Linked DNA regions of Drosophila melanogaster. The protein of the gene in region 2 purifies or fractionates together with the protein of the main gene of each other region. This does not show direct contact. Each region holds a gene or a part of one and is shown on either strand. Other genes may lie near its edges. The genes, in order: Tctp and cora.

Region 1 (15,649 bases), on a different chromosome or scaffold from region 2:
AACTCCTTCATTTTATGCAATTGATTTGCCAATTATTTAAATTTATTTGTTTGACATGCGTAGGAGTGTGACCGTTGCTCAGAATGACAAAATACACTTTGAATGCGCAACGGGCACCTTTATCCAAAAATGTTTCGATAGTCAAAACAATTGTTTAATTCCATGTTCACAAATGTGAGAAGTCTAATTTTCCCAAGAAATGCAGATTATTCATATTCAATATCTACGAAATCCGTTATGAATAGTGTTTGGTATTTTTATACACTCCACCACCAACTATCGATAGGCAGGCGAGCAACCCGTGCGATGGATGGTAACTCTGGCCGTTTCCGCCCTCCATCTTTCTGCATTGACTTTTCACGATGGTGAGTTCGCTGCTACTAAATTCTGCGAAAATAATAGTTTTTCACTGTGAAAGTGGCCCGCAAATGGAGGCAAAATATGAGTGAAGTGCCGCCCCAGGGCTGGGCCATGAAAACAACACCCAGCTCAAGTGGGAAAATGTGAAAATGCGGGCAAAAAACAAAAGCATGCCTTAACCTCGAAAGCAAGCAACTCCAGGTGCTGCTCAATGGTGGTCAATGGGGTTTATTTATGTCTGGGATTCAAGTGCAAGTTGTTAATACAAGCCCGTTTTTCTTTGCAACATTCCAGCCGCCTAAGAAGGACGCGAAGTCTTCGGCCAAGCAGCCGCAAAAGACACAAAAGAAGAAGGAGGGATCCGGCGGCGGCAAGGCCAAGAAGAAGAAGTGGTCCAAGGGAAAAGTCAGGGACAAGCTGAACAACCAGGTGCTGTTCGACAAGGCCACCTACGAGAAGCTGTACAAGGAAGTGCCCGCCTACAAGCTGATCACCCCATCGGTGGTCTCCGAGCGTCTGAAGATCCGCGGCTCCCTGGCCAAGCGTGCTCTCATCGAGCTGCGCGAGAAGGGTACGTTTCCTTACGCTTCCTACCTTTTCGTTAGCATAAATCCTAATGGCACTCTTCTTTGCTTTCAGGTCTGATCAAGCAGGTCGTGCAGCATCATTCCCAGGTCATCTACACACGTGCCACCAAGGGTGATGAGGCGTAAATGAATGTTTTACCTTTTGCCCATCTCGCATCGCCGTAGTCGCACTCGCCTTACAATAGAACTCTGTATCGATAGCACTACGATGCCGCTGTGTGTGTAACGTTGAATAAACTTGCTTTCTTATTGATGTAAGGGACATTTGCGTGATGTTTAATTGATATAAAGATATACCCTCTTATAGAGGGATGTATCACTGAGCGCTGGTTTCAAGATGTCGAGCCGGAGTTATACGGCTGGGAATGTAAAATATCATATAGCCCAAAAACTATTGTTCTTACAAATCGAACAGCTGACGTGCAATATATTTGCAAATCAGGATATCAAGAATTCTTATAATAGCAATTATTATTCATTGCAATGTGCGTTTAATCAAAAATACTTCTAAGAAAGTGAACATTTCATTAATGTCTTTCAAGTTTGTTATCAATGAGGAACTATTTTTAAAACAGCCGCTGAAATGTATTTTTTAGTTGAATTTAGCACTTTGAATGGTTATCATTTGAATACAAACAGTAAAATCATGATTCATTTGCTGTAATTCACATCAGCAAGAATTTGGTTATTTTCACTTATATTAAATAATATTTGTTTATAAAAAAATAACGAATTCCCAATAAGAATTAGTACTAATCTTCTTCTTGCTCTCAAGCCATTCACCCTCTCAGTTTTCACGTGACAGTGAGTACTCAATTGTAACTTCATAATTGACGACAAAATGAAGTCAAAAGAAAAGCCATTGAAGTTTATTAAAGTTTCATTCAATAAGGTATAAAAATTAGAAACTGGCAATTCTTAATACATGATTAAAGTGAAAAATAATAATAATCAAAAGACCGCAATAAATCAAACTTCCTTAGAATTTATACTTTTCAAACAAAATGCCGGAAGATCTAACTAAAAAGCGACCAGTAAAATGAATACCCAACAAACTTTCAGTGGTGCACTTACTGTGGCCATTTGCCATTCACAACGAAGCGCTGCTTTCGTTCGGACGAAATGTTTACGTGGTTACCATTATTTTGATGACAACACGGCAGATTGGTTTGGTGCTGGCAAAGACGGGAGTTCGGTTCTGGTATCTGGTACCCAGTAAAAATGAATTAAGCTGCAGCTGAATCGCAGATCGACGAGCCCGCGCCGCACAACTGCGCACACAAGACGACGACGACGACGAAGTCGCGCAGGAAGCATTTTGCTTGTGAGATAATTTGGGAATCAAAGAAAAGAGACCTGCCGCCGCCGCCGTTGCCGATAAAGATTCTCGCGAACCCGGCCAGAAGCGGAGTGGGAATCACGGAATCAGCTGGAGCGCGGCTATAGCCAACCGATAATACCACGTATGCAAACAAAGTGTGCTTTCTTAGTTAGGTGCTTAGATCTCATGTTGGTCTCGTGCTCTTTTGCAGATCCATAACCGGCAAGATGATACCGCTGTCGCACAAGGACCGGAGCAGTCTGGGCTACCGGATCCGGGAGAAGCTCAACAGCTGGAAACGACTCATCTTCTCCGACCGCAACTCCCGGAATCTGTTCCTCTTTCTGCTGCTCAACCTGAGCTTCGCCTTCGTGGAGCTCTTCTACGGCATTGTGACGAACAGTTTGGGTGCGTACTTGGCCACTAATGGCTTTTTATCTTATCCGCAGTTTATAACCTACTTGATGGTTAATCCGCAGGCCTGATCTCCGACTCATTCCACATGTTCTTCGACTGCACTGGCCTCTTGGCGGGACTGGCCGCGTCGGTTATCACCAAGTGGAAGGCCAACGACAAGTTCTCCTACGGCTATGTGCGCGCCGAGGTGCTGGCCGGCTTCGTGAATAGCCTGTTCCTGTTGTTCATAGCCTTCTTCATTCTGTCGGAGGGCGTGGAGCGACTTATCGAACCGCCGGAGGTCAAGCACGAGCGTCTGTTTGTCGTCTCCGTGCTGGGACTGCTGGTGAACCTGGTGGGCATCTATGCCTTCAATCACGGCGGACATGGACACTCGCACGGTGGACACGGACACTCCCACGGTGGTGGTCATGGGCACGGGCACTCGCACGGCCACACGGACGCCGGCAATCACAATCACCAAGCCATCACCTTGGACAATGGTAACTGCAGTTGGAGATTATATCTTATTATATTGACTAGGAATGGGACAATATTCTAATAACCCCTTTTTAAATCCGCCCATTTCTAGGCCATGGACACTCACACGATCACGACAGCCATGGCCACTCGCACGGCGACATGTCGGGCAGCAACTCGCAGATCATGCGCGGCGTCTTCCTGCACATCCTGGCGGACACTTTGGGTTCGGTGGGCGTGATCATCTCGGCGGTGCTGATGCACATGTTCGGCTGGATGATAGCGGACCCCATTTGCTCCATCTTCATAGCCTTGCTGATAGCGCTCAGTGTGCTGAGTCTGATCAAGGAGTCGATCATGATCCTGATGCAGCGACAACCCGCCGACCTGGACCGATCGCTGCCGCAGTGCTATCAGAAAGTCACCGGCCTGGCTGGCGTTTACGCTGTGCAGGAGCCGCACTTCTGGACCCTTTGCTCCGATGTCTATGTGGGCGCACTCAAGCTGGAGGTGTCCAAGAACGTCGATCCCAAGTACGTGGTGACGCACACACGGATGATCTTTGAGGCGGTGGGCGTCAAGCAGATCTACATACAGTTGGATTATGTTTGATGCCAATGGGATCGACCCACCGGTGTCCTTGTACAATGATCTGTATAGTTATCAGCGCATGTTGAATGTTTGTGGGCAGTGCGACTCAAACATTATGAAATTTTAGTATACTACGGCGCCACAATACCCCGCCCATCACTTCCGAATGTCCCCTCCAAGAGCTAAGTAAAAGAAAGTGTTTGATTTTCAGTTGTACTTTCCGAATTTTTGTTAACTTATTAACGTTTGTATTTGTTGAAATGCGTTCGGCATTCATTCCAATTCTATACATACTGAAAGCATGGCATAACTTATGCAATAGTCCATATCGAGGAGCATTAGTGTAATTGTAAGCTAAGCGAAAGATTTTGTGCAAAGGTAAATATAAATATTTAAAGATTTTTTAAAATTCAGCATGAACAAAACCAGAAAATAGCAACTAATTCTGACTGACATTTCCATGGACATTCCGCCGTGCGGTGGAAGTGCATTTGGTGAATCGTTTTTGCCACAGTTTGAAGCATCAAAATTATGAACGAAATAAAATTTAATTTGTTATTAGCATTTTTATACGTAAACCGAACTGAAAGAAGTTTTAATTCCGGTTGGATGGGTACTTATCATTCGTTTTTTGTTGGGTACAAACAAATAACCAATTAACATATTCGATTAGATTAACCTATTTCAATTATTTACAAAAGATTCCCATTGAAAATAATCTGCTATTGAACTGCCCAGTTTACTACTTCTTTACAAAAATATAATTTAATTTGAAAGACCACAAAATAAACCAGAATTGTATAGCTTGTTGTTCTCCTTATTGTTAAAAAGTTTTCTTGGAACAATACTCCATTTCAACAACGCTTCATAAGAATGGAAAGGTACATAAATAGACACATATGTATGTATATTAAAAACCATTAAATTCAACAATGTATGAGAATAGCGAAGAAAAACTTTTAGCTTTTTATCCCGAAAATGGTTCTATTTCAACTAGATTCAAATACTTGAATAAAATATTCTTTACAATTTTAGGAAAATATATTGTGCTTTTCAAAAAAATTGTTTTCGAACATCAGACAATATCGCCGTTCGCCCTAACGAGTGTCCACTGTGCGCATCTCTCACGCGACGAACGGCAACAGGTCGACACGTTTCGCTGAAATGGAAATAGCACCTGGGGCGCAGAGCCCCGCCCTTCAAGCAGATAAAGACGTACGTATTGCTTGACCTGGAATTAGATTATAGAATCCCAAATTCCAGCGAGAGCGGCGCATTTCATTAGCATGGTTGAGGTTAGGGCGAAGCCAACGTGAGAAACTGGGGCAAGTCGAACTGCAACGTGCAGAAAATCGTGTTCCACTGCGCATGACCTCCAAAATGTCCAATGACGGTAACGGTATTGGTGCGGGGCATGTGTACATCACTGTCAAAGGTCAATAACTCCGCGATTGCCCCAAAAAGCAGCAACAACACAAACTAACTGAAGTCTGTGACTCAGACGGTGGTGGCGCCCTCTCGTTCCCACTCACGCCGCCATATGGCGGCGTCTACCTACGCATAACTGCAGATTTGGAAAGAAGTACAGACATGCGGATTCACAGTTGTTTTGTATAGGTGTTCCGTTTAATTTCAGTACTGGTGTTCCCATTTTCGGTCTTCGTTGCTTTTTGATATCTTAGCGAAAATGCATACTAATTTGTAGGTGTTGCTATCAAATTATTATTTTAATTACAATAGGTGGCGCAATTGAATTGTTTAGCTCGCTGTGATTAAACAATAAACATACAATGTCGAATTTATAAGCGCTCCGGTAAAAAGAAATTAGATATAAAATCGCACTGATCGAAGACAGGCATTTTTGTCAGCGTTTTTAAACATAAATTTAAGACTTTCAAAATTGTAACTAAGCATCTGATAAATATGTATATGTGTGTAGAAGGTATGCATGAGTATAGGTTCCGTTTTGTTTGGGGGATTGGGATCCATCTAGCATTTCTCCTCCTCCAGACCGTGCTTGAAGAACATGAGCACGGGCACGCTGTCGCCGTTGATTTCGCGGTATTCCACCAGGGCCACCATGCCGTCGCAGTCCATAGATTCGCCGGTGAAGAACTGCAGCTCCTTGAAGCGGCCAAGGATGTCCTTCATGGCCTTGTTCATGTTGGTCTTGAAGATGTCGACCTGGTCGGGCGACTTCTCCTCCAGCTTGGCCAGCACCTTCTTCATGTAGTCCTTCAGGTAGAGGGTGTACGACTTCTTGTCGCCGAAGGCGAAGCACTCCGTCAGTCGGTGGTTAAGCACAACATCCACGCCAGACTCCGAGGTGATATCAGTGCCCTCGTCGGCCTCCTCGGCGGATGCGTTGGCGCCCTCCAGCTTGATATCGTCACCCTGGCGGGTGATCAGCTTTCCGTACACCTCGTAGATCACATCATCCACCAGCTTCATCTTGTAGGTGTCGGCAAACATCTCGTCGCCGGTGATGATATCCTTGTAGATCTTCATGGTGATTGGCTTGTCGGGAGTCGGAAGATGGCGTCTAAATCGCTGGCGAAAATGCAACTACAACTGCACCGGACCGGGAACACTGCGAAACGACCTGCCACGCGCTCACTCGAACAGCAAAAAGAATGAGCGAGAAAAAATGGCGAAAGAACTGCCAACTCGCTTGGGAGTGGTAACGATTGATCCGGGAGTGGCAGCGCCTACTATACACGTATCGATAATTTCAATGTTTTCTTCGATTTATTGTTAGTTAAGAGCAGGGAATATTAACAAGGCGAACAAAATTATTATAGCTATAATATTGATGTTTCTTACGTATATTTATGGCCATTCTAACTTTTAATAATTTGAGACTGTTTCAGTAAAAAAGATAAATATGTGTAATATTCTCAATTGGAATAATATAAAAGTGGGAACAGAATTAATCATATAAAGTAATAACAATGTTTTACAGTTGATATAAAATCAATACTTTCGAGACTTATTTGTTTTTTACCAACGTAGTGGCATCCCTGTTTGCGGTAATATCGCGCAGTCAGTGTACGGTCCCATCAATACAAGTTCGAGTGAAAAACAGGGAAATGTACGTAATTTCTGTGATGGCACTGCAAAAACCCTGATTTGTGACTGCTTTTTGCAGGTATGCACTCTCCAGTTCTTTGATCCGCTCTCCGGCGCTGCGCCAGGGCCTCCAGATGGCCGCTGCCAGCCGCCCGGTATCGATGAAGGTGGTTTCCGTGGCCGAAACCCAGAAGGACGAGTCGTTCTTCGAGAAGAACGAGCGCTTGGGCAGGGAGCTGTCGCCCCATCTGACCATCTACCAACCGCAGCTGACCTCCATGCTCTCGATCTGTCACCGCGGCACAGGATTGGCCCTGGGTGTGGGTGTTTGGGGTCTGGGATTGGGCGCTCTGATCTCGTCCCACGACATTAGCCACTATGTGACCATGGTGGAGGGCCTCCAGCTGAGTGGCGCCACTCTGACCGCCCTCAAGTTTATCATCGCCTATCCGGCTGGCTATCACACCGCCAATGGTATTAGGCATCTCCTCTGGGACACCGGACGGTTCCTGAAGATCAAGGAGGTTTACTCCACCGGTTACGCAATGGTCGCCACCTCTTTCGTGCTATCCGCTATCTTGGCCCTGCTCTAAGTCCAAGACCCCAGCTAAACCTATTACATTTTAGTGCGAACACTGTGTGAAAATTGTTATATACTAAATACATGTAGTGTGTATATTTATAAAGGTGTTTGTTGTGTTACGCAATCCATTTTGTTGCTTTGGGCGTGCTGCATACGTTTGTTGTGCGCTGCAATTTGCACGGTGTGCGTGTTTTTAACGATTTCGGTGATTTGTAGAGTGAATTCAGTGTGGAGGCCGGTTAAATAGACATCTTGCGGTCCATTGACAGCGAAATCAAGTATACGCCCCGAACAAGCGATTTCCGATAGCAGAATATTACTTACATGCGCCCAAAAGTAGGGAATACTTTTTATAGGCTTAAATTTACATGAAAAATTAAAACCAAATGCAAAAGGGCTCCGAAAATGTATTTATTTAAGAGTAGCTCTTTGGCTTCCCTAACTATAGAAAAGTCTTCTAAAGATCCTTTTACTTCGGAACTGAAGAATCTTTTTATTAGATGGGGGATTCAGTTCATGTACAGAATCTATATAAAATATGTATATCCTTAATTTTGATTTTTAAGAGGTCATTGTTATATGGATAGAAAATGCAGTTCAGTTAACTTTCTTCCATACGTTGTAATTTATTTATTGTGAATTTTGGATTATCATTTGTAAAAGCTGCAAACTGTAGTGCAACGGTTGTGTATGAGGCTAATATGTATCTAACAACTAATATCACAATCGATGTAATGTTATTGAAACTTCTTTTTCGGCAAATTATGAATCTGAAGCTTTCTATTGAATGGATCCATGCTTGCTGCCCTCCACTTCCGTTTCATTTTCACCATCGCTCCCACTTCCGCTGCCGCTTTCCTTTCCGTTTTCCGTCGGAGGCAGTAGCTCAAAGTCACACACCAGGGAAAAGTGATCCGATGGATATTGGAAGCTGGGTGTGCGATTCTTGCCAATTTGCTCTCCGGCCGGAAAGTCTAGACAGTTTTTGATCTGAAATTGGACATAAATATTGTTAAATAAATTGTAACCGCTTGCAACTATTTCAGAAATCCCACCTTGAGGCGATCGGGTGTGTAAAAGACGTAGTCGATGGTGTGACATTCCTCGCCCTCTTCGCGAATTTTCCAGGTGGTGTAGGGTGGCTCGCGTTTCATCGATTTCGCGACGAACTCACCGACATCCGCGTTGGGATGTAGTATCTCCTCGCGGTCTAGCTTCACGTCGGCATAGGCGCTGCCCAAGCGGAGGAGATCACATCCCAAGATCGTGGCATAGATGGGCTCCACCGGTTCGGCATTGAAATCGCCGCAGAGCAGCAGCGGCGTATCTCCGGCAAACTGCTTCACAAACCTAATGAGATCACGTCCCTGTTCGTTCCGTAATTTCGCCAAAAGGGCGCCATGGCGGGCCTTTAAGTGGGTGGTGGCCACACAGAATTCCCGACCACTGGATCGCATACGCAGCCGGGCCGCGATGGCCACCTGGTTGCTCTGCACCCGCCACACTTCCAGGATCCTCGTGTCGTATCCCTGCAGCTGCAGTTTGTCCCTCTTGTAGAAGATGGCACAGCCATCGGGTCCATTGTTCTGCTCGATGTACAGGCACGGGGAATCCGGTTTCGGGAAGAAGATGCCTGCGTAGTTCTGGCTACCCAACACGGTCTGCAGGAACTTGAAGTGGTCTACCTCCTAATTGAATATATCACATTTAAGTGTGACTGTCTTGAAAATGTTGGGTGGGCTGATGTGAACATACTTGCAGACAAATCACATCGGGCTGGTTCTGCAGAATCTCCTGGACAATCAGGTACTTGCGGTGCTCCCAGGTGAGAGCCTCCTCGGGACAGCGCACAAATCCATCGTTGTGCTGCCCGAGAGCTGGGTTTCAGATGAAGAAATCAAGTTAAATGGGATAGAGTTAAGGTATAATAATGCAAATTCTTTAAACATATATAAGCATATAAATATTTTTAGGGACATACTTTGTGATAGGATGTTCCACTGCAGCAATCGAATGTCATCACCCTCGACTGGCGCACTGCAAACTGCACAAATAGATTAGAATATAGCCCTCGGATAAGACAAGGATGCAATCCTACCCCTCGACACGGAATTCAGCTTGAGGCATCGCAGTCCGTCGGCTACATCCTCGTCCGCCAGCAGCGGTTTTAGGAAGCCGCGGGTGAGCAGCGATGGCTGCTCGATGCCACCGCCACGCAGTTGCTGGACATGCTGGAGGAGAGCCGGGGTGCTTAGACCGGAGGGCAGTACCAGGCCATCGTCCTGGGAGTCCACATTGTTGATCTTTGGGGCCGAGTTAAATGAACCCATTCTGGAATAGGATTAGGTGACTCAATTAGTTTACAGCCGTTGAACAATTAACTATATAAAAACTCGACTAAGCGAACGTGTTTAGCACTCACTATTCGATTATATTTTGCTATTTCAAAACACAAAGATTGAGTAAGTCTTTAAATGTGTTTTCTTTTAGCATTTCAATCAAAAACAAATTGATAAAAGCTTCTCGCAACAAACAAACAACTTTCAGCGAATAAACACCAAATAAACAACATCAATTAAATACATATTATTTCACATTTTCTGGTACTCACAAAGCATTGGGTTTTCTATATAGAATTTTTCTCAGTATTATGCTGAAAATGAATAGACTATGACTATGACGCTGACTCGTATAAAATTGTCCCATTTTCACTTTGCTGCAAGGAGTTATTTGAATGGAGTAAGTGTTTTGTGTGCAGGGAAGAAAAATATTAAGAATTGTTAGGTTTTTCAATCAGATTTGATCAATTTAAAGAACACAAAAAAAAAACACAAAAGTGAATAATTTCGAAAATGGGGAATTGGAACAAGGAGTTATTGATAAAGTGCTCAATTATTCAATCTGTCACAATCAACTAGCAAGCTTAAAACCATTCTCAAAAACTCTTTCTCAACTAAAGATATATTTTCTATTCTTTTCAATCATTGTTGCTAGGTAGCTCATAGCAAAAAACTATCTTTTAGTTATGGATGGAATGCATGATTTCACTTTCATTGATCATTGATTCCTTTACCAAATGAATCTGACTTCCTGAAGCTGGACTCAATCACACTAATCTGCGTAGCTCACAGCTAAAACATAGTTTTCATATTGCTGGATAGAACGTTTCTGGTTTTCGTGTGCCTAAGCTTACGGCAATTAGCACATATGCTCCGATTCTAAGAAGATTACCGGACATTAGAGCGGGGTATTAGATGGTGTAGCGGGGGTAAGGGGTGGGAGAATCTGGAACGCCCACGCGACGATAATCCCGCGAAACAAAAACAAAGGCGAAAATGTCGCTCGGTCAATAGCTTCGCAGCTGTTCGTCTGGTTTCCAACGCTCCGCGAGAGAATCGAAACCAGTTCCCGCCGGGGATTGGGATTGAATGGCGAATGGCGACTGGATTTGGGGCTTACGGGCTTCGGCATGTCACCGCAATCAATCACCCGCCGCCGGTGGATCAGTTGTCCCCCCATCCCACATCTCACATCTCACATCTCGGATCGCAGCCCATCTCACCTGGTCAGCATCACTTTTTGCAGATAGGCCTTGCGATCGTTTTTGCAGGGCGCCTTGTTGGCTCGCTTAATGGGAACGGCTGGCTCCATGTCTGCGGCAGGATCAAAGGATTTGGATGTTTTGGATTTCGAATGTTATTTTTTTTTTAACTTATGTGGGATATGTGAGGTGGTGACTTTAGCGATCTTTGGGGGAGCCGGAACGAGGTGCGCTTGCAAGCGACTTTGGCGAAACTGAATGCCAACTGAAGTGCGGGGTTTTATTAGAGAGATCATTCGCGCTGGAGGCAGCGAAAAGATCGCGAGGAGAGCACGCACAAACGGGTATTTCGCATACGAGATGTATCTGCAAGATACAGATACCGATACCGATACAGATACCCCCAGAACGAGATCAATACGGTTCGGCTCACGTGTGGAGAGCTCCCGCGCCAAAATGCTAAACAAAAGAACGATTCTATAAGTACGTCGGACCGACTGGCTGTCTGTTTCGCTGGCTAGCTGGCTGGCTTGTTAAATATTTATGGCTATCAGTTAATGAAAACAAAAGTGCTGTATGTATGTATGCCTGCATGCAAAAAAAGTGGAGAAAATAGCAGCCAGCATCCTTAGATAATCAATGGCGCTGTTGTATGCCTAAGCAGAATCCCAAATGTTCTCAAATGCAAATTGCGCAGACAAAAGATACAATTGTATCTGCACAATTTATACAGCAACGCAGTTACATGCCTAATGAGCTGTCCGCCCAAGCTATATAGTACCTATATCTGTTGTATCTGTAGCCGATTTTCAGCGTATACCGTGGAGAAGATTTCAATTTCAATTTCTATTTCGATTTCGTTACCTGGGAATCGGAACGGCCACACGTCTTGCGAACGTCTTCGATGTGACGATCAAACGCGACGTTTTCATTAGAAACTCCATTTTGAACTTTTTGTGCAAACTTAACGCTTGTCCCAACTCGAATATCACTTTCAGTTTGCTATCTTTCGGCTGCTGACTTTTGAACTGGGATTCTTGGTTTCTTGTTTAGATATTAGGATAACTTGAAATGTTTTATATTTAGTGTCAGTATGGCAATGTCAAAGAGACGCGGCCCCATCTGTGTTTCCTAGAAAGGTAGAATGATTACGAGGTTAATGTTTAGTAAATAATTAAATTTGCATTCTCTTCGCTGAACGTCACTTGCAAAATGCCTACCAATCTCGTTGCGGAATTTTGAACTTGATTTAATCAAATTAGGCACGTGCCGAAACACTTTCGTGACCCAAACGCAATTATTGCGTTCATTGATAAAATCTTTTTAGTTCATTTACACTGATATAATGGCAATTTAGTTGTCACTCATGACTTATCACTTAATGGAAAGGCATTAAGTTTTCAGCTTTGCGTTAGATAAGCCAATAATATCGATACTAAAGCCCATGGATAGCCCATGATTGGTACTAGGAACTAACTCATTAGAATTGCAATAAATAAGTTGATCACAAATATTCTGATAGTGCCGCTGCTAGACTATATATTTTTATTGAATCTGTCGTTTTTCCGCCTTTCCTGGGACACAGCTACATACATATATACTTGACTACCTATATACTCTCAGTTTTTATACTGTCAGTTTTGTCATGATCACTTTCGCGCAAATTGTGCAAGGTTAGTTTTTGTTGCTCTCGGGGATCGCTTGTTGGTGCTGTTGTTGTTGTTGTCGTTGTTGTTTTTGTCGTTATTGTTGATTGCCGCTAAGTGGCTTTGAGGCCTGGCCAATGGCTAAGAACACTTGACACGCTGCCAGCCATGAACTTGATTTATAAGCGCGACAGCCGCGCTACAGCCTATGGTTATGGTATCTGGTATATATGGCATGGCCCCTGTAAGAAACAAGTATCTCACCTCACCAGATACAAGAGCAAATCGCGAGGCGGCTCGAACTCAAACTCTCCCATTCCAGTTGCAGCGACGGTACTGCTCTGGCCGAGATTGATATCGTTACGGGGGCTGGCCACGCCCAGCTGTTCGTCCATTTCCATTTCCTTTTCGAATTCCAGTTTTCGCGCCGCCAGGCGCTGTTTCATCTGAACGGTGGAGGTCATGGCCGAGGTCTTGGCCACAGCTTCCGCGATTTCGTACTGCCTGAGGAAATCCTGACGCACACCATCCAATGTGAGACCTTGTGGACGTCTGCATTCGGGACCACACAGGCGCTGGCACATCTCATTGATGGCCGACTGGCGATCGATCAGATGGCCAGGTGCCGTTTTCAGGCAATTCGAACAGGGTATCTCCCTGTGCCGTTCACCAGCCAGTTTTCCATCATCCTCATGGTGATTGGGTGGCTTGTAATCCTCTTCGTTGGGCGAGGGTGGCTCATCCGTAACGCTAAACAATTGCGGTGGCTTGTCATCATCTTCGAGGAGCTCAGCTCCAATGTCATTCCTACTGTAATCCAAAGGATTTGACTCCAAATTCAGCAAAAGAGCTGTCACTGGCATGGCCTTGCCCAAGGCGGGCTGACGTCGATGGCCATAGTTTTCGCGTAGTCCCGTTGTTTTTTGATCCATTGTCACTTTTAACTGCTACCTTTGAGCCAGTTTTAGTCACTTATCACTGGCCACGCTGCGTATGCGTAATATGCGATGCACTTCTGGCCGTTTAGAACAGCCAACAATTAATACGCGCGTGCGTTGCCTTTCCTTATTTATATCTTCTGGCCGACTCTAGTCGAGATCGAGGCAATCAAGTGCCAACTGCCAGTTGCTCAGTTCCCTGATCGGATCGCTCTCTCTGTAGTTTCTCATTAAAAGAGCAGACAGATTGCCGCTGTTCAGGTATTCAGTCATTCAGACATAGGTTTAATAAACGGCATGAAATTGAAATTGCCGCTCTCGTTCGGTTTCGTTTAAAGGCAAACCACATTTTGTTTGATTACTTTCCAAAATGTCAAATTTGTTATTAGCAAAATAGAGATTTGATTTCGATTGTCCAAAAGTCAGTCAGCAGCAGCAGCTCAATGCCCAATAATACTTTCATCTTGACGTGACTTTAAACTTGACCCGATGATTCAGAATCAGAATCAGCATCGGTATCAGAACAACAAGCGTTGTTATTACTTCGAAATCATAACAATCAAGACTCCACTCGAACTTTCTGCTGCTTAAGGTTACGAGTTTGAAATAATTGCAATATATCTCAAAAATTGTGTTTACAAAACATGATAATTAAAGGAAGTACTTAGTCTTGAGCTTGAACAATAATTTCTAATCAATTGTCAACGTGTTTTTTGGTTTCTTGGTGAAAATGCCACACAGGAATTCCGTATTCTATAGACTCAATCAATTACAGGTAAATAAAGAACACTTTTCAATCAGCTGCGATTGATTAATTACGCTCTATGTCAGCTGCCTGACAATCGACTTCCACACAAACATAATTAATTTTACGCCTCAGTTTGTTCCCTCCTCCTCAATTGCAATCGAAACCGAAAGAGAGGAAAGGCAAGAGCCTCCAATGCTAATTTGTAGCTAATAAATTATTATGCACTTTCATGATTTGCATTAATTCAAGAGCAATTTGATTGCAATTCATTTGGCTAATAAACTAAAAGCCAATTGAATGAAAACAACGACTTCCATTCATTTCCGCAATACGACAAGTTATGGTATCTATTTATCTCTTAAATCTTTTGAAGTCAATTGCAAATATTAGTGAATTTTATATAATTAACTATATTAATTTTAAGTTATAGCGCTTTTTGGCAGTCGAATATATAATATCATAAATTAAGTATTTTATTTATTATTATCATGTTTTAAAAAGTTCTTTAAAATCAGCCTAAGAGTAGGCAAGAATTTTAATTTGACATATGTTTTACATTATGAAAAGTTTGTTAGACATAAGAAACATTATATACATATATATAATTGTTGAGGATTTTAGAACATAAAAATTCGTAGATAAGTCAACAGAAATTCTATTAGATATCAAACTATTAGGAAAAATAAAAGGTAAATAATATTTATATTTAAATATTAATCAAAGCACTTGTATTTTCCTATTTAACAAAAGTTTCCCTAGTTCTTTGTTTGCTCAGCTGCTATTGAACTTGATCTACTTTGATGTTGATGTACTATATTTTTTTAGCTATACATACCTATAAACCTCGAGTCACCTTTCGATGTAGCACTAATTAAATATAATAATCTCTTCCCCTTCCGCAGGTGTGACTGCTCTACAAACAGATTTAAACGGATCTCAATTTTTTCTGGCAATGCACTGCGGAAAGTCGAACGAAATCAACAAGAGCAGCGGCCGACATTGAGATTTTATTTATACTGCTATATGTACATACATATGAACCTGGGGATTCGGCCAAAATGCCACATGAACTTGGCAACAGGTCTGCTCAATTTATGACAGGCCTTTTCCTCGTGGGAGTGATAGGTGGCATTCGTGGTGCGAAACTATGTAAGTTTTTGTTAATTCAGCTGACTATATTGTAGCAAGACACCTGCTACCGCTGACCGATCGGGTCATCGATTGTTCATTTGATATTGACTAATCTCAGAGCAAACCAAAAACGAATAAAAAGGGAAAAACGCCAGGGATGTGATAACCTTATCAGCAAATGATACACACGACCAGCTGGGATGCTCGACTATCAGATGACCTGTACTTGTTCCAGATGTTACAAAATATGACGATCGT
Region 2 (16,588 bases):
GTGGATTGCTGATTTATATCGCCATCGAGCGAGGTAGCACGGTCCATCAAATATTCAGCGGTCCGTGGCTTATTGAAAAGCACAAATGGCAATTTCAGCAAGTGCGAATGCCCAGGGAGCCGCCAGTTTGCCTTCCAGAAAAGCACTTAATCGGTGTTTTTTTGTGTGTGTACATTTAGGTTTTATTCTTGTATTTGAATGCAATCGTGGTTTACAATATATAGAGTTTTCATTTCAACGTTGCCTTGCACATTCAATATATAATATACGTAATAAAAAGTAATTATAAACAACAGTTGTAATAAAAATAATAAACATGTAGATGCATTTTCTCGTAGACGGTTGCGGTAACGGATAATTGGGAATTTATCTTTTTATGTTTCTTAGTGTTATGTCATGTGGGTCATCAGCTCGAGCTCAAATATACACTCGTGTGTATATATATATATATTTGTTTAAATTATATTTAGATATAGGTTGTATAAAAGGTGTACTGCAAGTGCTGCGTATGCGTGGGCTGGTGTTCATGTGTGTGAGTGTGTGTGCGGGTTTACTTAGAAAATCATCCGAATGGTTTAAAAATAATTATAAAATCTACTGCGTTTGCTGCTGAATTTCAATCTTCTCGACTGTCATGTCCGGATTCATGGCCGTCGCTTCCTGTAATCGCGTAAAAAACAATTGGTATCAGTTAATGTATCTACTAACGTTGAAGTTAATCCATTAGATACTCACTTGTATTGCCTCGGCCAAGGCTTTGTCATGATCGATCGGATCTCCATCGGACTGAATGGTTATCTTCTGTTCCACTCGGGTCTCCACAATGCCATCGCGTTCGGTTTTGTACTGTTCATTTAGAGTAGAGTATTAATTAATGTTATTTTATAAATGTGGTACAACCTGAACCCATTCGAACAAGGACTATGCATGGAATATACAGTGTGGTGCATACGTTCACAGGAAATATCTTTTGGATAGATAGATAGAAAGCCTACCTCTGGCTACTTACGCAACCTAATCGAACGGGATCAGTTGGATTAGTTCCGGTTACTTACGGTAATGGTTTCCACAGTGCGGGTTTTGCTGCTCACGGTTTGGGTGGAGATGATTTCGCCATGTCCGGAGAATCCGGGTGTGTCCTCACCGAGAACCACTCGGGTGCTTTCCACATGGGGTCCAGTGGTGGCGGAGGTCGTAAACAGCGGAGATTTCTGTGCAAGATTCGAGATTATTAAGCTTTGAATGTAACTTTTTTTTTTTGGAAGCGCAACTAATTTTAGAGGGCCTAATTATCGATTGCTTATTGGAAAGTAGCCATGCATGACCCACCTGGTTATCTGTGCGCACCACACTGGCACCATCGTAGGGTCCGTCGATGGGCGTGCCCGAATCGCCGGAACTGGTCGAGGAAACGCTATCCCTCCTCTGATACTACACAACACATAATATAACATAACATATCGAAATCATAATGACAACAATCAACTCATGCAATTGGGATGCAGCCATGCGATCTTACCTGATCCCCACTGGTGACCGTCGCCGTCGTCTTCACCTCCTGGGTAACGACGCGCTGCTGCTGCTTGTTGGGATCGTGGGTGCGGGTGGTGGCCACCGTCTTCTCCTCCAGCTGCTCCGTCTTGGCGTTCTTGCCCAGATCCTCGTGCGTGGTGGCGGTGCGGGTGGTGACTGCGGTGGCCGTGACATAGGCGCCACTCAGGTCGGTGGGTGTAGCATCAGCCTAGGTGGATTGAGTGGCAAGTGGGTGGTTCAGTGGGTTAGTGCGTACGGCATAAAAATACAACAGCAATAATACAACAATTTAAGCAACAACATCAAATACAGGCGGAAGTTAGGCAAAGGCAGAGATTAAGATTAATATAACTTTGGAAAGCGAAGCGCAAAGAGACAGAAAGATAGACGTTTCCGGTTTTCAGAGCCCTAGGTTTTGATCCAATTCGATTGCGATTTAATTAAGATTTTCTAAATATTATATTGTTTGCGATGATTGGAAAAACCTCAATTGAATACCAATATCTTTTATGCCCCATTAATTAAAATCGAATTCGATCAAAGCCCTTAAGAAGTGAATTCCAGTTTATCCATAAGGGACGCAGTCCCTCGCTAACCTTGTGTTCCTGCGTAGAGTAGGTGACCTCGCCGGTGCCCAGATTGCGCACCTCCTCTTCCACATTGTGGGTCACGCCATCGATGTTCTTGGTCAGCACCTGTTTGGTGGTGGTCTTCACCACCGTGGGCGTGCTCACTGGCTTGCCCAGCTTGCCACCCGCCTGTCCCGCCGGACTGCCGATCAAGATCTCATTGACCTGGTCGGCGCCATACTGTGCGGTCATGTCGTCATCGGAGCTGCCCTCGGAATCCCGCCGCAGAGCACCCTTGCTTATGTGCTTGACTCCGTCGAAGAACTGCTGGCGGGTGATGGGTACCGTTTCCGTGGTGGTTTGCACCTGCGCCTGTTTGCCGAAGTGGGAGGGATCGATCTGGGCATAGTTCAGGATCAGTTTTCCGGTCACGGGATCCGTGACAGCCGTGGCGGGATCAATATCTCCCGTGTTCGGATCAATGTCGCCATACTCGCTCTTAATCCTGCCGGTCACGGGATCAATCTCTCCTGTCAGCGTCATCGTGTGGGTGACCGTGGTGCGGGCGCCAGCGAAACGCGGGTCATTGGGGTCCACCTGAACAATTTCACCGGTCACAGGATCAATCATATTGTAAACATAAACGGTCTTATTGAAGAACTTAAGAACGCGGCCGGAGACGGGATCGATTTCGCATGTGGAGGGATCGATCTCCTCCGGTCGACCACGTTCGTCGGTCTTCGAGATAAGCAGGATGCGCACGATCACGATCTTGCCCGTCTTGGGATCGACGCGGGCCAGCTTGGTGTAGACCTCGCCGGATTCGGGATCCACCTGGGTGGCCGCATACAACGGCTCCCCGGTGGCCTGATCCACCTCCCCGGTGGCAGTGTATATCTTTCCGGACGTGGGTTCGATTTTGATTGTGTTGGGGTCGAGCTTGGTCTGTTTCTTGATCTCGTTGGTCTTGGGGTCCAGGTAGCCATAGATGGTGATGACGTATCCCGTCTTGGGGTCCACGCTGCTGGAGATGTACTGCTGCTCCTTGGTGGCAGGATCGGTGGCTCCAGTGGGCACCCAAATCTGGTTGGACTTGGGATCCACCACGATGTCCTTGTCCTTGGAGGCACTTACTTCAGTGATGGGCGCCTTAGTGGCCGGATCCACGCGCTGTTGCACGATCCTCAAAGAGATAATCCTGGCATAATCCTTGTCGGGCTTGTTGTTCTTCGGATTGACCTGGTTCTTCAGCACAATCTGTCCGGTGGTTGGTTCAATCTTAATGTCCCTAGTAACCGTCTTACCTGATTTCGGGTCATTGAACGTGATCGTATGCTTAACCAGATCAATCTGTCCATATTTGGTATCAATCTTGCCGGCCTTCGGATCGAACTGACCTCCAGAGGTCTCCACCTGCGCCGTCTTGGGATCGATGATGTTCCTCTTGGAATCGAACTTGCCTGCCAAGGAAGTGACCTCCACAATTGGGTCAATCTGTTGGCCCACCTCAATGAGGCGACCTTGGTTCGGATCGATCTTGTTCGTTTTGGGATCCACAATGCCCAGGATAGTGATCTGGCCAGTACCCGGATCCACTTTCACGTTCTTGCTGACTACAATCTTGCCAGACTTGGGATCAATGGCCTTAAGTTCGCCGGTGCGTGTGTTAATCTCTCCATACTTGGTATCCAGCAGGCCGGTATCCAAGTTCAGGACGCCCAAGGAACGCTCAACATCTCCGTTAACTGTGTCAATCTTTCCGGTTGCAGGATCAATGCGACTGGTGATCACTGTTAGCTCCACCACAGGATTATCCTGGGGTGTGATGCAAACGATCTGACCAAGGGTGTCGTCAAGGCGTCCGGTCTTTGGATCCGCCACACCGGATACCAAATGAAGATTGCCGGTCTTGCCATCAACATCGCCCTGGAACACTTCCTTCTTTCCGGTCTTGGTATTCAGAGCCTCCAATGTTCCCTTCTTGGGATCAATCACGCCATATTTGGTGTCAATGAGTCCGGTGGCGGGGTCTAGAATGCCGGTGGAGTGCTCAATACTTCCGTTCTCCGCATCAATGCGTTTGGTGGAAGGATCGAATTTGGAGGTGATGACCATGATCTTGACTCGCCTCTTTTTCGGCTTGGCCGCTGCTGCTGCAGCTCCTGCGGCTCCAGCTGCTGCCGCAGCAGCAGCTCCTGGAGCTCCCTTTCCTGTCTTGGTGGGAGAACCAGGCTTCTTAGAGCCAGCAGCACCTGCAAGACCAGCAGCAACATCAGCTTTGGAGGGACCAACGTAACCGGGCTCTTTGTTGTAGCGCTGTGATTCCAGGAAATCAGCCGTGGGATCTGAGATGGGCTTGTAGCTTCCTGGAGCTCCAGAGGAGTAGCCTTGGGGTCCCTTGGTGGGCGAGTAGGATCGCTTCTGGGAATCGCTCAGAGGAACAGCAGCCGCATCCACAGCGCTGCCCTGGAGCTTAGCACGAGTGGTGGGCGAGAGGAGTGGATCCTGGAGTAGCTTAGCCCGCGACTTGGGCGACAATTGACCGCGGTTCAGCTTATCTTGGGTGCGTGGAGACAGCTGTCCTGCCTTCAGCTTCTCAGCCGTTTCCTTCAAGGCGTTCTCGTTACCAGGAGCATAGTTAAAGGCCAAACCAATCTTTTTTTGCTGCGAGGTAGGAGACAGCTGCTCCTGGCCATCGGCACCGGATTTCCTAGAGTTAGGATCCTGATCGTAACGGAAGCCACCAGGGGTGTATGATTTCCTTGTGGGACTGGTATTGCCATCATTATCCACGGCATACTCATACTGCCTAGTGACACCGGGAGTGGTGGATCCTCGGTTCTTAGCCGCATTCCTAGCCGCCTCGTCCAGGTTTTGATCCTGCTGATTATCGCCCAGACCAGACGTAACGACCAGACCAAGTCGACCCACCTCCTTGTCCTTATCCTTTCCGGACTTATCCTTGCCATCCTTGGATGGGGAACCGCTCTTGCTCTTGCGACCCGAGGAGAATATGCCAACGCCCTGTGGATCGTCGTTGGATCGTTTTTTTTTCGAGGATCAAATGAAAAGGTCAAACATAAAACGAAAAGAAATGGGAGGTAAAAATTAACAAAAGGAAACCATAATAATTATTACACAACCAATGAGTTCAACTTAAGATCAATTTTCGGGTTTCACTACAAACTATCATAACTTACGGGTGAAACTTAAGTGATTTGGTATGTGGATTTGGGTGGGTTTTGGGTCGGGGGGGTTAAGAGTATTTACACGAGGGCGGGCGCATTCGGTGCGGGGATATCGCTTAGCTCAGTACACCTAGTCTTGTGTGTTCCTATGATCTAGCTTAAGTTGGGGATAGTCAGATAGGATACTTACACGTCTGCCTGAGGACTTGTCAGACTTGTTGGAATCATTCAGCTCGTCATTGCCTAGATAATATTTTCAGGGAGGTTAGTAAGATTGCTTCTTTAGATACTTTATCCTGGGGATACTTACCATTAACAGCCGCTCCTGCAGCGGCACCAGCGGCAAGTGCTGCCTTGGCAGCCTTTTCGGCCTTCTTCTTCTCCTCCAACTCCCGCTTCTCCCGCTCCTTTCGCTCCTTCTCCTCCTTCTCCTTTTGTTTCTTCTCACGCAACTTAGCCTCCTTATCAGCATCCTGAGAAAACATCGATCATTAGTTAGTTATAGTTTTTAGCGTATAATTCAGAGGAAACAGATATTTGGGGCGAAAAGGCGACATGCTACAAAATGGCTGAGATGTACAATATATATTTACAATACAAGCAACAAAATTATAATATTTCGTTAATTAGGCATTACAGATGAAACTTTTTTAATACAACTGCATGTTTTGTGTGGACTGTACTGGTGTGGCCCTAAATGGTATTTACAGCTCGAGAAAGGACTCTTACAGACGTCACAAAATAATCAAATCAAAGTTAAATAAAACACGTAAAAAAAGTCAGATAGTTATGATGTAATGCACATTTAACAGACAATTGACGGCACTGATTTCTTTTTTTTTACAAAAATTACCATCAGATCAAGGTACAGCTCGTTCGGGTTCTATCACATTGGTTAGAGGATAGTCGGTTATGAAAACAAAAAATATAAATTAATAGGTTCAGAACATTCATAAATTACTGGGGTAAAGTAGCCCTAAGCTGAACAAATAAACGAATAACTGAGGGAGACTTCAAATCAAATCGTTTCATACGTAAGCTCACAACATTCGAAAAGCAGAGTTCAAAGCCGATAAAAAAGTTAGGAAGGATACATTGTAGAAGATTCGATTCGGAGGATACTTTTTTTTTGGTTTTTTTTTTTTTCGATTTTTTTTTGAGTTGTAGGTAGTAAAGTGTTAACCTGAACGGGGGGCTCAGCCTCGATGGCCTCAATCTCTAGGTTGGTCTCGTAGTCACCCTCGAGGGAACTTTGCGAGGAGGCCGAAGCCGTGCCGGTGCTCGACTGTCGCATCAACTGGTTAGTGTAATGGGGGGTTAAGGTGTGTTTTTTTTTTTTTTTAGGGGACGAAGGGTTAACATTACGAGCACATCATTTCATATTCAGAATCACAGAGTGGATGTGTGTGTGGTTGTTTGGTTTGTGAGTGGTTGTGAGTTAGTAACAAACCGAGAAGAAAGTACAAAAAACTCTGGTTAACTCCGAAATCATCGTTAAACATGTTCATCTCAATAGCTATGTTTCGTCAGGCATTAGTTGGTTAAAAACTGGATGGGTTACCTTCTCCTTCTTGTTCTTGATGGGACTGCGGCTGTGGGCATCGCCATCGGCATTGCGATCTCCCCGATGATCCAGGGTGCTGCTCTTCCTAGCCACCTTTTCCTTTTCGGCCAAGGCCAGAGCTGAAAGGATCAGGTAATTAGAAACAATTCAAACCACATAGATTCAAAACTATCAGGTTATATATAAGCAAGCTCTACTCAAGACTAGGTGTAATTACCATCCATGCTCCTGGAAGTGAGACGAGCTCCGGACAGAGTCCTATTGAACTTCGGAGGAGTACGATCCACGGGTGTGTTCGTGCTCTCGGCCTGAGTGCGACCCTTGTAGCGATAGGTGGACCCGAAGACTGGGAACATCTTGGACTTGCTGACCGGTTCGGGGGTCATCAGGCGGAAGAAGGTGTGGTGCTCCACGCAGGATTTCCACAGTTTCTTGGCGGCACGATGGTTGGCCAGCTTAAAGCCAATGGTGGATTCGTACTGCTCGAATTCACCCGGTCGGATCTTGATGTAGAAATGGTGGCGCTTGTAGGAGATCTTCAGAATCTTGGGCCAGGCAAAGCGGTTGATGCGCAATCTAGTTGGATAGTGGTTTAAATATATTAGCAATTGTTTAATTTAAATATAGTAAGAGCTGCTCACTTATCGCGGTAGACGAGCAAACCGGAGGCACAAACGCCCAGCATGATGTCCACGCCCTCAGAATCCTTAGCGGGATGCAAGTCCACGCCGTACATGGCCAGCTTCTTGGCATTCTCCAGGTAGTGTAGCTCAGCCTCGGCGGGCGATTGTCCCCTAGAATACAAAATATTAAAGTGAGTATAAATCCTTGATATAATAGTCCAAAACTTACTTGTGGGTCTTGTGAAGATCCATGACCTTATCCTCCAACTCAGCCGTCTGATTTGGAGCGATCTTGAAGTCCTTCAGGTAGGCCCTGGTGGGCATTTCCTCTGCATCGTAGTCGCCCATCTCCGACTGCACCAAGTAGGATCCGAGCAGAGCGTGGGTGACGAATGTGCAGGGCAGTCGACCCTCCAGGATGTCATTGCGCACCTGCAGGCACAAATGGTAGCGCGTGATGTCCTCCTTCAGCTGCGATGGCTCCGGCGGATAGAACTTGACGGCGAAGGTGAGAGGCCAAGTGTCCGTGCGGAAGAACTTGGATACCGGCTTCTCCAGATCCAGCCAAGTGCGCGGATCTGTGGGCGTCTCATAGGTCAGACCAAAGTAGTCCTTTTCGATGAGGTTCAGACCGGCGCAGATTGAGTTGATCACATCACGGCCAATGGCTTTGCGCTGTGGAAATCAAATTGAACAATTCATCATTGTAAATGTTTTTAATCATAACCTTAAAGGGTTTGACTTGTTTAACACATCATCATCCCTGCTTACTCACATCAATGGACACGTCCAGAAGGGAGCCATCCAGCAGGGTGACTCGTGCTAGGGCAGGCTTTCCGTGCGAGGATGAGCTGGACTTGGGTTTGCTCTTGGTCGGCGTTTCCGGCTCAGCGGGCGCGGATGGTTTAATTTCCGCCGGCATCTTGGATTGGGGGACTTGGCTACGCCAGCGACAGCTTGGAGTTGGCTGCAAGAATGTAAAGACTTTAGTAAATTGCACTGGATCCCAGTTAAATGGCCGGAAGTGTCCACTCCGCGGGGTCATGTGTCCCAGTGTGTGTGTGTGTGTGTGTGTGGGCGCCTTTCGCTCATTAGAAGTCTGCAGTCTGGACATAAAACACGACATAAACTTTCTCAATTTGCCTGGCGCCACTGCGCAAATAAACTCAGCACACACACATTTAAGCACAGGACCCTCAGCCAGGATGTGTACAACTCCTCCTTCTCCACTCGCTGATGACTATGATGTCACCAGTTGCAATTGCGTACTCACTTCCAAAGAGCTCTAGAATTTCTCCGGCAATGATTTCCAGCGAGCTGTAAGAGAAATTTCGCCATTAAAAGCTGAACTGCAAATTGAATTACCATTTTACTAGCGAAAGCAGATAGTAAAAAAAACTTTCAGGTCTGAGACCATTACAATGAGTTGACCATAAACCGCACAACAGTCAGATTTCGCAGATCTATTATTAAGCAGAGTGAATACAGATAATGCCCCAGTAATTAAAGTCATTAAATATACAAAAGTACATGGGAATAAAAGTTGGGAACGTCCTTTGAGTAAGCCGAAAAGTCAAGTGATCGGCGACAGCTCACGTTCCAGATCTGGATTCAAGTTCAGCAGTGACATAAGTCTTCCATATATACATATATATAAATATGTATATGTATGCTCCATATCGGTGTGGGTTATATAAGCCGGCAAGTCGAGGCAGCGTCATGTTCTCGCTTTTATCCCCTTCCGTTTCCATTTGATTCCGTTTGCGGTCGGAATTTAGCGGGACTGCAAATTGCGCAAAATAATGTTGTTTTCTTCTGAAAAGAGACGATATCGGCATTTTGCCACGGATGTGGACACACTGCCCCACCCAGAAAAGAGCCTTCAATCAACGCTGATTGGGAATGTACTTGGGTGTAGCCATAGTTATGGGTATGGTTAACGTGCGAGGATCGAGAGTCAATTGAGCCCAGATGCGCTGACCGATTGCACAGTGAGTTCAATTTACAATCGGAGTGTTTAATTGGCTGGGAGTCATGAGCCAAGAGATGTGTCCATCGATCCCGCAGAGGAAACTAGCTGAACCAGTTTGCCACAGACTTCGTGATAGAGGTCTTCTATGGCGCTATAATACTGTTTCAGTTTCGGACACGACCCCCAAAGCGAATTAACTCTGGTGGCGTCATCGTGCGTTCAAAATTAAACAAAAACACACACATGAAATATGTATGCTGAGAACCAGAACCCGAAAACCAAAAAAAAAAAAAGCAGACAAACATCTAATTTATATTATTTTATTTATTCTCGCGTCTTTGTAGCGCGCAGACCATGTGTATATGGACTCCATATAGCATTACTTTTGGCAGCGTGCTTGTTCTCATAGTTGAAGGTTGCGCATACGCAATGTTGACATCATCGACGGGCGGTTGCAACCACCTCGTTATTTTCACTTGGCCAAATGCAGGGCCCCATGAGTAGTGGGAATGGGTATGGGAATACTTGACTAAGATCGGCGGTGAATCAGCGGCATTATCTTGCCGTGCCGACTTACAAATTCGTTTGGCTGGCAAACCAAAACAAAGTAAATCGCTCGAATTGTCGATAGCGCATAGCGATTTTACAATGCGGGGGCATTCGTACATGATTTATTTTCGATGACATCATCAGCTAAGCGATCAGCACCAGCTAAGGCATAATATCAAGAGCTATTTCTAGAGTTTATACAAATATATTTGCAGAAGATGCCGACACCCAAAAACATTTTCAGCACTTGGCGCATTCGCCTCAATTGAAGGAGGTCGAGGTGAAATTCATCAAGTGGCGCGCGTCTAATCTTTAGGTTACAATATTGCTGGCCAGGCGAGAATAAATACGTCCAAATTGAGCAGAGAAGAAGCAGCCTAACCAAGTGAGTAGAATATATACATATATATGTATATATATATCTGGTATTATTGTGAAAGTAACGAAGTTCTTGTGGCGGACAGAAGGCAGAAGCACAAAAGATGGCAATCGCGTCGTTTCAATTGAGATTCGGAATGAGAACATGGGCACTCGTACTTTGGGTGCAGCCGGCTCCCCTTTAATTAAGTTTCATTTAATACAACTTAAATCAAATTCAATTGGCGACGGGTCTGCGCCAGGTTTTTCATATCCGCGGGGATGGCTCATACATGTGTCATCGAGTTATTACTCTGACATCAACATGGGTCACCTGGTGGGCGGTGGCGTCACTTCCCCGGGAACGGCGTGCCCCCCACACATTGAATTTCTCCCTTGTATGTACATAATACATATATAGTACATTCCCTCTAGTCATTGTGACTAAACTTTCGCTTTTATGCCCATTAACATTAAAATTTCCCCCGGGGCTGTGAAGTGCACAAAACTTTTCAAACTTGCCATTTTCTGAGCTCAACGAAGCGTTGCCAATAAATCGCATTTAAAATGTATTATATACTGACTTCACATCCGTTTATAAACATGGCCGCATTTCCGCAAGGGAAGCTGTTACATTTTCCGTTGTGGTGCATAAATTGAAATATGTACATTAATTTGACAGACATCTGAGTGTCATTTTAGCTAATTAGAGTTATATTATTATATCAATTTAAGCTTTTAAGAATACTTTCATTCTCTTTATCACTTTACCCCTTTGAACCAATCATTCACTCGAATGAACAATGGATTTCATGCCTGGTGCGTCAGGTCTTCCAAGTTATTTTGTATATTTTTCGAGGAAATATGGAGTGGGAAATACGTAAACATTCGCGCATTCTGGACTGTGTGCTAAAGTGGGAAAGTGGGTCAATCAATACAGAACGATTAGAGGAGGGTGTGTTTCGCTCTTGCGAATCCATAGACTTATCGACGGAGTGGAACCGCCTGGCAGTCGAGGATGGCGACTCTATGGAACCCGTCAGTCGATAAGCCAGATCCGTTCCCATTTCCCATCGCACTGGCAGCCCTGAGACAGAGATGACCACTAGCTAGTAACTCAGAAGTGGATCAGCCACTTGAGGGGAACTGGTTTCTGGTCACCAGATGCCACTTTTCGACAGCTCAAGTGACGGCTCTGTGGAGCAGTGTGTCGCTTGACTAATTACCGCTATGATCGACGTTCGGATGACAAGGCGACATAACCGCACTGGATCACACCCACACATAGCCATCTGCACCACCATCGCTCCACCACCCGGCACCATCAGTTCTCCACTGTCAATGGCTATTTAAAGCATTTGACTTCGCCTGGCCAACGAACTCTGAAATGCATCCACAGTTGCTGCTATTTCAACACCATAAAATATAAGCTGAACCAAAATCATTTTAGATGTTGTATCCGTATGCAAGTCTTTTTAAAATAATATATATAATATAGAAAAGGGTTGAAACAATTTTTTGGTTTAAGGAACATAACTATTTTATTTAGTAGAACAGAATAAGTGGTTTTAGGTTAATATTTTTCACTGTGTTGGTATGCCGCACCCACATGCACATCGCGTTTTGATTTCTGCCCAGAAGGTGAGGGAAAAAGTGTCGCGAAGGGCGGAGAAAGTAAACAAACGAACCGCCCTCGAGGAGAATTTTGTCCACTTCAGCGCTTTGCACATTAATCATAGACCTATAGACGCCCCATCCGCACAAGTAAAAATCGATGCGACAAGGAATAAAAATAGAAAACGGAAAATCGAATGGGCATTTAGGAGGAGCGCAAGAGGGAAACTGATTGGCTAAAAAGGGGGCTGGAAAAGCTGCCTTCCATCCGATTAAGTTTGTTGAAAGATTAGATTGGTTTTTCACCTCGCTGAAGGAGGGTGGAAATCTTCCGGTGAACTAAGAATAGCTAGCGATTCTAAAGAGGATTCATAAAGATGAAGATATTAAGTGCTACACATAGTAGGTGAGATCCCCAATCTTAACAACGATCTGGCCACGCTGGAAAATCGCTGGTTGGGGCTTAGTCTCCGTTTTCCGACGAGAGAATCCGAGAGAATACGGAGAGACGCGCTCTGGGAGCTTCTAACGCTGGAAGACACACCTAGTTGGTAACGCTCGAATTCGGAGTCGTGTTCGAATTCAGGTTTTCGAGGGGGCTCTGATTCCGACTCATTTTGTTTTTTTTTTAGCCATGTTCATTCGCGTGCTGCCAAGTCGTTAGCCCTCCGAAACTCTCTCACTCTCCAGATTTTTGTAGTATAGTTTTCCACTCGCTGGTTGTACAGTTATTGGCATTCAGTTGGCTGGCACTCCTCGTTTGCTTTGCTCGGCTGCTTTATCTGTTTGTCTGCTGTGCAGCCAACTTCTTGGCCAGCAACAACCGGTTTTTTTTATTTCTTTCTTTTCTAATGCAAGCTCAACCTCATGTTAGCCAGTTCGTTTCCATTCCCACTTTGCATGGCCTGGCCAAGAAGACGAAGTCTACATGTTAATGTTTCTTACTATTTGGGTCAAAGCCCACACCTCCCGGAAAAGGTGGAAGAAAAAAGACTTCACGTAAACAGCGGTTTTCGAAGAACGGTTTTTTGGTTGCCAAGTCAACGCCCCAGGTTTTCCGGGGATGGTGAAAATCGTGCCGTGACTCAGTGGATGGGGGATGAGGGGACACCTAAAATATCGCCACCAGTCACCTGCCATTCATAACTGGCCTTTGTTGTGGTGGCCTTATCTTATCTTAGCCATGTTTCCTAGTGGCTGGGATAAAGACCGACGTTGTTTACCCCAGCCGATATCAAACATATGAAAAATGCCAATGCAAAAAGCGCTCAATGTTGTGATAAGAAATGTGGAAACCTGCTCGCAAACCCAATGGATTCTATTTTGGGAACAGTGACGTCTTGATGCTTGGGGAATTTAGCCGCCATATGAAACTATTATATATGCCATATGAATGCGACGAAATTCCAAAATTATATTTAAGCGAGAGAAGGAAATGAAAGGAATCGGTTTCATAAAGTGCGCAGTTCTAGGAATTTTGATTTTTCGGTTGGTAGTTGGCCTTCTTTAAAATATAAATTCAAAGTATAAATTCTACTCAATTGATATTTACACTTAAGAAGTTTTCTATTCATAATCATCATTATGAATAACCTTTTCAATTTGCGTAGAATTCAAAAGTGATTGTATGCCTTTCCACATGCGTATCTTTGAGATACATATACATACATACGTTGTAGTTTTACCGATACTGAGTAGGTTTTATAAAGATATAAAGTATTTGCCCCCTTTTTTAAAGTTCACTGCTAAACGAAACTACCTTTGAGATACATTTGTATCCGATCGGTGTTGTGGAACGTTTCCTTGACTACCGCGGGCCCAATAAGAATTTCCCACCCTGCGCCCCGAAATGCGAAGCAAACGAGGAAAACACAGAAGAAGGAAAATTGGAGTAAGGCAAAGACAGAGGCAAAATCAAAAGAGAGCTGGCGACAACAACAATGTGGGCCGAGTTGACAAAAACAAGAAGTCGAAAGAATAAGAATATCGTGCCAAAAGATACACTCGAAAAGCTTGACAGCTCACAGATACAGATACGCAGATACAAATGCCGCGTGAGTGAGTCGAGCTCTCTTTTCGCTCCCGCTCGCAAAGCTGCTCTCAATTAACTCTGCTTTCGGGTGTGTGTGTGTGTGTGTGGTGTGTGCTATGAAGTCATACTGCCCAAGTCATTCTGCGCTTGTGTTGGTATCGAAAACATAAGCCACCAAAAACTCCCGACCACAGCCCAAAAGAAAAAAACTTGAATAAAAATGTAATTAACCTATGTCGCAATCCCCAAATTGTACTCACCCTTTTAAGACGCCTCTAGAATCCTTTTTAATCCACAGCAAGGACACGCAGTTACCGTTAGTTTGGCGGTTGGCTGATTTTTACTCCTGTATTTGTGTTGTTTTCACTTTTCTCCCGTGGGCACTGCACTCACTCGCTTTCACACTAGTAAACAAATTCTTTGCCACTTTTTTCTATTCGTTCGCGAAAAAAGACAATTTGTTGTTGTCGTCGTCGTCGTCGTTGAATACCTGTTGAAAATTTGACGTTGAGTTTCTTTGAGTGAGTAATAGAGAACGCAAGAGTGGGAGTTGAAGGGGTGTGTGTGCTGTGAGGGGGGTTGGGCTCAGGGGTATAATAGAGAGCGGGGTGGGCGTGGGCGGAAAATGCGCGAATAGTGGTTGCTAATAAATTAATTTCCCATTTTATTTATAAACACACTGCTGCCGAATTGCGCGCTTTTCTTTTCTATCCGCTCGTCGCCGTTTTGCAATTACTTTGCTGCTGGCCAAACAACAAATCTTCTCACAATTCTGGCAGCGCGATCACACAAAACGTACCGTCTTCACAAATATTCGATGTGCTGTGCACGAAGAGCAAACTGGTACTGAAACCGAAAACTGAAACTGAGAGCCATCCGCTTGCCGCTGCTCGATTTGGATTTGAGTCGATTTCAGTTGAGACCACTGAGTTTTGCTGAGAAACCACCACCGAGTGGTTGCAGTGCTGGCAAATGCCGTTGGTTCATCTGAGTGCTTCGGTTTGCTTTTCAAATGTTTATAGCAATAGCGCTGTTTGATATCGCTACAAAATGTATATAAATCTATGTTTTCTTAATAAATGTATGGTCCGATTTCAATCGTTAAATTTTTTAAAAATTATATGACCTCTAATGGAAATTCGAGTGATTTTTTATCTTTTATACATTTTTGTCGCATATATCAAGGCGCTATGTATTCGACATACATTTTTAATCTGTGCCCTTTTTTGTTGCTAAATTATCGCGCCTTATTATCAATTTGTATATTTTCGACCGAATAATAAGAGATCAAAACACATTTGTAAGAATTCCAAATTTATTGCGGTTTCTCCTACATAAAATTAATGTAACTATCTATAATTGCATTCGCTGTCTTGGTTTCTTTAACAGTTCGCAAAGTCGGAAATCTACTAATCTGAATAGGATAACATCCTATCGCTTGCGATATAAGCAAGGTTTGAGAGAGAAAGCTTTCATCTTGGTGTTCTTGGGCACATGACGCATCTTCTTGAATTGGAAGAAGTAGAAATAGTTAACAGCCACATCCTTCTTGTTAAGATCGAATCCACATGCATTGAGGCAACGCACAAACTCCCGCACATCCTGGAATCGCGACTGAATCTCCGCGATATAGACAGTGCCGTGCAGCTTGAGCACTCGATTGGCCTCCAGGAAGAACTCGTTCAGATCCGTGCCCATTAGTGAGAGGCAGTATACGGCCACGTCCAGAGTTCGAGCTTGGAGTGGAGTATCCGTGATGTTGCAGGCAATGATGTCGCTACGAGCAGCGACCAAGTCCATGGAGTACACCTTGTTGGGCACGGATTGTGCCAATTTGCCCTCGCCGCAACCAAAGTCGCCAATTATGGCTGTTTTGGGAATCTTCTTGATGGTCTTGATGATGCGATTAAGCGGATTGATGGGCCACTTCTCCACCTGCTGGCGGTAGCCAGCGTGATAGGCCTCGAAGGCGGAGCTATCCTTGCGGAAAAGTGCCTCCGCCTTGCGACTGGTCGTCGAGTAGAGCTGCTCGTTGATGTATCGGAAACGTCCGCCCAGGAGTTCCGATTGCAGCTTACTGGCCAACGAGTTTGCAGCCGGCGTGGTTGAGCTGGTGGCCTCCATGGCCTCCAAAGCCGCCTGGGCCAGTTCGGGTTTCAGTTTCAGTTCTTTTTTGCCACCTTTTGTGGCCTGCGTTGGTGGTCGCTGTTTCTCTATTCTTCCGGACTTCACCTTGTGCATGGCCCGGATGCCATCCTCCACATCTTCGTAGTCATCATCCGAGGAGTCTTGGGGCGGGGCAAGAGGTCCTCTGCCCTGCCGGTAAGTGAATTTTTCAGCTGCCTTGTTCACATTCAGATTTTCATTTGGCACAGCGGCCTTCTTCTTTTTGGGTTTCTTCTTCTTTGGTTTCTTCTTGGCGGCAACTCCATTTCCTGAAGGATTTACCGGCTCAAACTCAATGATATCGGCTCCTTCCTCCCAGGGCGGCACTTCGAAAGGCTTCATTTTGCGGTGGAAAATTGTAAACAAATGAAACACGTGAAGTCTACGTTCTATGAATTATCGTATTTTTCGATAACAGCAC

What was found.
Region 1: the proteins of cora (region 2) and Tctp purify together in Drosophila melanogaster (affinity purification with western blotting; one study listed by BioGRID). This does not show direct contact.

The regions. Positions count from the first base shown.
Region 1 is NT_033777.3:11,200,975-11,216,623, reverse strand, and holds Tctp (translationally controlled tumor protein), read right to left. Parts: upstream 6,378-15,649; 5' UTR 6,244-6,377; coding exon 5,725-6,243; 3' UTR 4,726-5,724; downstream 1-4,725. Other genes in the region: CG4820 (uncharacterized protein), read right to left, coding at 1-11; RpS25 (ribosomal protein S25), read left to right, coding at 363-365, 655-931, 1,000-1,073; ZnT86D (zinc transporter 86D), read left to right, coding at 2,496-2,676, 2,748-3,167, 3,257-3,756; SdhC (succinate dehydrogenase, subunit C), read left to right, coding at 6,825-6,826, 6,884-7,397; cu (curled), read right to left, coding at 8,168-8,377, 8,443-9,075, 9,143-9,264, 9,369-9,431, 9,486-9,718, 12,839-13,506. UniProt on the Drosophila melanogaster protein: Involved in calcium binding and microtubule stabilization.
Region 2 is NT_033778.4:19,227,327-19,243,914, reverse strand, and holds cora (coracle), read right to left. Parts: upstream 14,853-16,588; 5' UTR 14,801-14,852; intron 14,492-14,800; 5' UTR 14,262-14,491; intron 8,795-14,261; 5' UTR 8,751-8,794; intron 8,445-8,750; 5' UTR 8,400-8,444; coding exon 8,253-8,399; intron 8,153-8,252; coding exon 7,707-8,152; intron 7,649-7,706; coding exon 7,496-7,648; intron 7,431-7,495; coding exon 7,072-7,430; intron 6,974-7,071; coding exon 6,852-6,973; intron 6,588-6,851; coding exon of another isoform or gene 6,474-6,587; intron 6,174-6,473; coding exon of another isoform or gene 6,144-6,173; intron 5,764-6,143; coding exon 5,601-5,763; intron 5,534-5,600; coding exon 5,481-5,533; intron 5,127-5,480; coding exon 2,130-5,126; intron 1,742-2,129; coding exon 1,520-1,741; intron 1,432-1,519; coding exon 1,330-1,431; intron 1,212-1,329; coding exon 1,056-1,211; intron 847-1,055; coding exon 736-846; intron 661-735; coding exon 595-660; 3' UTR 164-594; downstream 1-163. Other genes in the region: CG7137 (uncharacterized protein), read right to left, coding at 15,433-16,509. UniProt on the Drosophila melanogaster protein: An integral component of the septate junction. May play a role in cell-cell interactions that are necessary for proper development. Vital for embryonic development.